2 linked regions of the Mus musculus genome follow. The protein of the gene in region 2 binds, or shares a complex with, the protein of the main gene of each other region. Links are inferred from orthologs where the notes say so. Each region holds a gene or a part of one and is shown on either strand. Other genes may lie near its edges.

What was found.
Region 1: Ctnnd1 (region 2) and Cdh26 share a complex: the UniProt entries of both Homo sapiens proteins name them as parts of the cadherin:catenin adhesion complex. The link is inferred for Mus musculus from reciprocal best matches to the Homo sapiens genes CTNND1 and CDH26.

Annotation. Positions count from the first base shown.
Region 1 is NC_000068.7:178,468,468-178,472,118, reverse strand, and holds part of Cdh26 (cadherin-like protein 26 isoform a precursor), read right to left. Parts: intron 2,111-3,651; coding exon 1,865-2,110; intron 536-1,864; coding exon 320-535; intron 1-319. UniProt on the Homo sapiens protein: Cadherins are calcium-dependent cell adhesion proteins. They preferentially interact with themselves in a homophilic manner in connecting cells; cadherins may thus contribute to the sorting of heterogeneous cell types.
Region 2 is NC_000068.7:84,619,676-84,623,326, reverse strand, and holds part of Ctnnd1 (catenin delta-1), read left to right. Parts: intron 1-1,244; coding exon 1,245-1,316; intron 1,317-2,339; coding exon 2,340-2,492; intron 2,493-2,872; coding exon 2,873-3,408; intron 3,409-3,651. UniProt on the Homo sapiens protein: Key regulator of cell-cell adhesion that associates with and regulates the cell adhesion properties of both C-, E- and N-cadherins, being critical for their surface stability.

The DNA of each region.
Region 1 (3,651 bases), about 94 Mb from region 2:
ACTGGCCAAGAATATTCTATTGTTTCTTGGACTAATCGGTGCCCATATTAACCTCAGCCATGCTCAGGCACCTAGACACCTGTGCACTGCTGTAACCATGGTTACCGCAAACATATGCTCACCTTTGGACCATGTTCCTCTGTGGATTCCATTGTTTACATAATTGCCTGCACATGGAAACTGAATTTCGGTTAATTAGCGTGTCTGGAAACCTCTGACCTGCACTAGCCTGGAGTTCGTCCTTATCTCCCACCCGTGCAGAGAATGTCCTGTTGTCCTGTGGCCAGTGAAAGGGGCTGAGCCCCCAGGAAGCACTCACCTGACAGAACCATAAGTGCTGCACCAACTGGGGACAGGGCCCACCACAGGAGCCATGTGTCCGAAGGCTCCTCACATTCAGAGCCACTGCGGCAGGAGCAGATTCTCACGTGGACTGTCTGCTTCTGGGCGAGGCCCTGTCTGTCAGCTATGAAGAGTGGCACCAAGTAATCCCCGGGCGGGACGCTTCTCAGCATTGTGAGTTCAGCAGAGTGGCCTGCAAGAGCAGAAAGACATGAGTGAGCTCATTGGCCCCCTGTGTATCTCCTTGCTACTGTCCAGGGCTGTGGCTCTGAGAGTGGGACAAGACAGAAACTCAGAAAAGCAAGGAGCAGATAGGACAGAAAAGAGGACCCTTGTCCCAGGAACTGGATAGTCTTTCCTGCTGGACACCCATTGATGCTTTCAAAATTGCCTTCAACAAGGACAGCGCATAATTTCCTAACCACACCTCAAATGAGGATACAAGATAAAGTGTGCTAACTTGGGCCAAAATGATCTACAGCCCTGAGTTTTCAGCACCCCTTATTCTTGAATATAAGCAACACTCCTCATGAACCTATGTTACAACTTTATTGATAGAAGAAATGCCTGTAACCTTTAAACTTTACTGTAAATTATACTATCTAAACAAGCACCTTTAAAAAGTTCCAGGATCTGATCTACACACCCACAGGATCTTGCCCATACCTGCCTAGATCTTTTCAATACCCACATGACCCAACTTAGACCCACAGGATCCTGCCTCTACCAATAGGGCCTAACCTATACCCATAAGATCCTACCTAAGCCCATAGGATCCTGTCTACACCCACAGGATCCTGCCTACACCCACAAGATCCTGCCTATACCCACAGAATCCAGTCTATACCCATAGGATCCTGCATATACCCACAGAATCCAGTCTATACCCATTGAATCCTGCCTATACCCACAGAATCCAGTCTATACCCATAGGATCCTGCATATACCCACAGAATCCAGTCTATACCCATTGAATCCTGCCTACACCCACAGATGCTGCCTACACCCACAGGATGCTGCCTTTGACTCATCCATGCTCCTGTAAGAACCCCCATCTTGTCAAGCTGGGCTAGGATGAAGTCCTCCCTTTGGCCTGTCAGTCTCTCTAACTGGGATAAGTAGACATTTCTTTACATCTTCCCCACAAAAGCTCATGTGGTAGCATGCTCTTGGACTCAAAGAGCACCGTTCACATTGTTACAGCCATTGCTGCTCTTCACTACAAGGACAAGGACCCAGATGAAAATTAGGAGAGAGAAGAGAAGAGACCGACATCTGAGTGTGCAGCCATCTTCATCCATGGTGTCAAGAAGGCCAGCAGTGACAGCAGGCATGTAATACCCCACTGAGGCAAGTTCACCCCAGACCTCATGTCCAGAGTCCTTTCTGGCAGGGCTGGTCTCCCACAAAATGCACTCCAGACTTTAGGCTCTCCAAGTGTACTTGAGACTAGATGACTTAGTGTCCCCCACCCTAAATCACAGTTTGTTCCAGTCTGAATTAGCCTCCAACACATACAAACCTTCCCCCTGCTTTGTCCTCAGCATCCAAGTCTCTTCCACGTCTCCCTGAGCATTGTCCAAATCAAAAGTAAAGGGGTCAGCGTAGGGGTCCAGATCTGCATCCTCAGCTTCTATCAGCAGGGGCTGGCTCCCAGCCGACTCACAGACCTCCAAGTGTCGGGAATGGGGCCGGAGGGTTGGAGCATTGTCGTTGACATCAGATAGGAAAAGCATCAGAGTCCCCGTGCCAGTCAGCGGGGGAAGGCCTTGGAGAGGACAGAACCCAGGCAATAGAAGTTACAATATTAAAGAGAGAGGGTAAACATGAACTTACAGAACAGTAGTATCAGTAGCTCCTGAAGAGTGGGGTGCCTGTGAGAGTCCATAGCCTCTCTGTCAGGGTGTGGCCCTGCTTGGTAGACTCTTCCAGTGCAATCATGATCACTCGGGCATGCTCGCGCGCATACACACACACACACACACACACACACACACACACACACACACAAGTATCGGAGTATTGGGCAGCATGAACTGTTCCTGATGGGTTTTAAAAGAAGAAGTAGAAATAGAATCACATGTCCTGTCAGTCAGTCATGGTACGTGCAGTGGTGCTGGGAAGGAATTGGGTACCTCTCAAAGGGGAGCATGGGGGATCCCCAGGGAAGATGAGGTCAGCTCCAGCCTGTGGGGACATTGCCTATGATGACAGACTACACCATCTTATAAAGTGTACTGGGGAAAGCTGGGAAAAGGAGGCTGTGATGCTAAAACCACACGTGAGTCAAGTTCAGATACTAACAGCTTTGTGGATCATGGAGGATGGATCTTCCCTTATGATCAGCAGTTGGTGAAAACAGGGACAGAAACGCAGGACTCTGGCCCAAGGTGGAGACATGGCAATCAATCAGACTGCCTGTTGATCATTGCTACCCACTAAAGGTTTTCTGGTAATGAGCAAAGACCTTACAGACACTGGAAAGGGAAATGCCCCCTCGAGGAAGAGCCAGGTTTAGAGACTGTAGGAAAAGTATAAGAGGCCTGACCAACAATGAAAGCTATTGGTGGTCTCTCTGGCCACTAGCCACTCTCCTCCAAGCGTAATTTGCTTTCCTCCTCAGTGGGCCCTATGGCCACTGTCCGCTCTCATTCATTCAGGTGCCCACTTTCCTCTGTAATAAACTCTCTTGTCTCTCCACTCCAGGACATCATTTCTGAATTATTCTGATGGACTGGGGACCCCAAGGGAGGGCAGGATAGGACCATGGCAACAAATTTATGATCATTTAGAAATCACCTTTTGTAATTAAAAATAGATTAGGGAATCATGAAGCCATCCATAACAGAATCATGGAACCCTGAGTGCCGAATGGCTGGCTTCCCTTCCTGTACATCGGCTAGCATCTTGCTTCCCTAACATTCCACCAGATAATTATGCAAATGGGCTGGGCGGGTCCACAGTGCTTGGGCTTTCATCCACAGAGTTCTTTAAGTATGATCCTTAATGTTACTTGAAAATGTTCACACATGCAGCTTTATATTTGGATGCGTTTAACTTCAGCCTTGTGGGAATATTGAGAAATGTGCTAAGGCATGTTTTAAAAATCACTCGTCCTGGTTTATGACAAATGTGTTCCACTCAGTCACATTTGCTGGAGCTTACAAGCCGTCCCAGGTACGGGAAACTGCTAAATATTTATCACACATCGTTGGGCTTGACAAAGAGCTACTGCATTATCTTACGGGCAGATGAGACGGGTGGGCATGATTGCAGACTCCTCACTGGCTTAATTGTCTCTGCTGAGTG
Region 2 (3,651 bases):
CTTACTTACTTATGTATGAGGAGCTGGGGATGGAATCCTGGGTCTTGTGCATGCCACTAAACAACATTTCCAGACCTTTGGGTCTGTGAAGATTAGGTATTGGTACATAGCTCAGGTTGACCTCAACCTTGTGGTCCTCTTGTCTCTGTTTCCCTAGTGCTAGGGTTACAATCGTGCCCAGTTGCTTGCTTAATCCTTAAGCTAGTAGATATCATTTGAATAATCAGGACCATGAAATAAACAACAACGTTCAAGGAAATTTTCAGGAACTTGAGTGTAGAGAGTTAGGGATGAGACACACTGAAGGAAAGTGGGGTGCTCAGACTTTAAGGTGGTGGGGAATCCCAGGATTTAGTGGTTTATCTTCTTCTTTTATTTTTAACCTCTGCTCTGCAATGAAACCACACCCTTCCTTCTTCCTGAAAGCAATGGTTAACTTCCTCCCCTGCTGCAGCATTACACTGCATGTAAAGGGGGAATGGGTGGAAGAAGATCCCAAGGTTATTGGATCTAGTTGTATTCTGTTGGGAGGGGCAAGACATGTGCTTTATATATGCAGTCTCATTAGGTTATGTCTTGGTGCTTAACATAGAACAATTTAACAACGTTTGAGAATGTGTTCTGTAGCTGTAACTTGTTAAAGACGTTGAAGACTTTTTTTGAGGGGCGTTGCTGAGTACTTTCCTTCGTATTTGGAAATGGAGAATTTACTCTCTTCATTCAAGAGCTTCCTGGAATGGGAGTTTACCCTGGTACCACAGCTTGAAGATTCCTAGAACGATAATAAAAGGAGGCTTTTTGTGGACACCCTCCCCCCTTCCGCCACCCCCCATTGTAGCCTTCCTAACTTACATTCTTAAAGCTTTCCAAAAGGTTTTCTGTAGGGAGCTTACCTGAGTCTGTGTTATTAAGCAAATGGTCTTTGAATGCTTCTAATGTGCCAAGTACTGTTCAAGATGTTAGGGATGTTAGTAGCCTTGAAACTACTGGACTCAAACCCTGTGTACTCATGGAACTTACATTCTCATGCTCCAGAAATCCCACCTGCCAGAATTCTAGGCCTGTAGAGGAAAGTGGTATCTAAGATTGTTATGGAGTGTTATGGTTCTTATGTGAGTACCGACAGAAGGATTTCAGTCCACAAATACCTTCTCAAAAGCCCTTTCATTTTTGAAAGAAAGATGCTGTCTTAGACAGAACAAAGGTCAGCCAGAACATGAATTGTTTTGTGGGCTCTGTTTCAGAACGGCCGGTTTGTGGGCGATGCTGACCTTGAGAGACAGAAATTTTCAGATCTGAAACTCAACGGACCCCAGGTAATTGTTTCCACTCAAGGTCTAGGGACTTCATTCACATCTTTGTACCTCTCCAGTCTTTATGATCATATTGCTATGCTGCAGTGCTCATCGTAAATATTTACTAGTTTTTTAATTTTGGAAATTAAAAAGGTACCATTTCAAATTATAGTTTTGCTGATTTTTTTTTTAATCATTGGCTTTTCTCATGGTATTCCTATCTCATTTGATCCTCCAAAAACTGCAATTGTTTTGAGGGAGAGCATAATTTTACATTGTAGAAAAGCTTACCTAAAATCTAACTGAGGAGATGAACGAATCTGATGAATAACAAAATCTTTGTTGGGCCTGATGGGGCAAATCTAATCTTAGTGTCTTAGGAGGCTGTGGCAGGAGGATCAAAAGTTTCAAGGCCTCCCTGGGAGATTGCTGGAACCTTATCCCAAAGTAAAAGTAGGAGGAGGCTCCAAATGTTTTCAGTGGCAGGTGGGGTGCTTGCCTAGCTACCCAAAACAAAGCAAAAACCTGGTATTTTTATTATTTTTTAAAATCCGTATCTTTACTGAGTAAGCTGTTCTTTTTGAAGTATTGCTCCAGTGTAAATATTACAGTTAACACAGTTAATATCCAAGTCGGGGACCAGAATGGGAGGTAACCTGCTGTCCCAGTCACTGCAATGTCAGCATGATTCTAGTTACCTTTTTAAACTTATATGTGTTAGATAGCTAGTACTAGGAAGTTTTATTTTCTGTCCTTTTACATGTGGTCCTAGTTGACCTGGAATTTGCTGTGTATATTAGGGTAGGCTTGAATTTACAGGTCTGCATGCATTTGCCTCTTGAGTGCTGGGATTAAAGGTGTACACTACCATGCCCTGCCTTTTTGTACAAGTATTAAAGATGACAACCATTTTTTATTAAAAACCCCTGAGGACAATGGGAGATGCATGAAGGCCTCCTGTCTCTAGAGGCACCTGTGTTTCTTACTAGAATAGATTGTTACTACATAGGTTCAGTTGTATTTTCACTCTTTTCTCTCTCATAGGATCACAACCACCTTCTGTACAGCACTATCCCCAGGATGCAGGAGCCAGGACAGATTGTGGAAACCTACACCGAGGAGGACCCTGAAGGAGCCATGTCTGTTGTTTCTGTGGAGACCACAGATGATGGGACCACTAGACGCACGGAGACCACAGTAAGCTGAGATTTTCGTGTCTTAGAATGATAGGTCCTCTGTGGTATTTTAGTAGAGAAGCTAACGAGTTAAGTGAGCCAAAGCCACTGTCTGCCAGAAAGAAAGTGATGCCTGGGCAAAGAGACAAGGTAAAAGAAGTTCAGGAAGTGGGAAGAGAGGAGGAGTATGACAGTTACAGTAGCTTCCGGAGAGGATGTTAGTGATTGGGCAGTTTTTTTCCATTGAGGGCTTCTGTAGGATGGAGAAGAGATATAGATGACACACACTTCTGTATAAAGACCTAGAGGGTAGGGTTTCTATCTTAGAGTACTGTGGAATTTAAACTTAGATTCTTTATTTCCTCAATAGTTGGTTTTCCTTTTCTTATTCCTTAAATGAAGGTCAAAAAAGTTGTGAAGACAATGACAACTCGGACAGTACAGCCTGTCCCCATGGGGCCAGACGGGCTGCCCGTGGACGCCTCAGCAGTCTCCAATAACTATATCCAGACCTTGGGCCGTGATTTTCGCAAGAATGGCAATGGGGGCCCTGGTCCCTATGTGGGGCAAGCGGGCACTGCCACTCTTCCTAGGAACTTCCACTATCCTCCAGATGGGTATGGCCGACACTATGAAGATGGTTATCCAGGTGGCAGTGACAACTACGGCAGTCTGTCCCGGGTGACCCGAATTGAGGAGCGGTATAGGCCCAGCATGGAAGGCTACCGGGCACCCAGTAGACAAGATGTCTATGGGCCCCAGCCCCAGGTTCGAGTAGGTGGAAGCAGTGTGGACCTGCATCGTTTTCATCCTGAGCCTTACGGGCTAGAGGATGACCAGCGCAGCATGGGCTATGATGACCTCGATTACGGCATGATGTCTGATTATGGTACTGCCCGTCGGACAGGAACACCCTCTGACCCTCGACGACGCCTCAGGTGGGCAGGAGTGGGGGAAGAGGTAGCTTTAGGGACTCCTAGAGGTCACTAAGCACCTGTCTGCTCTGAGGGCTCTTCCTCCTAGAGCTGATCTTTGCTGGCTGAAGATGCCATGCTGACTGTTTGGATGCGTAGTTGCCATGGAGGAAGATTTTACAATGGGATTGATTGGTCCTCACTCCCTTTCTTTCTTCCTTCCCTTTCTTTATTCTTGTTATTGTTGAGACAGGGTATCACTATTTA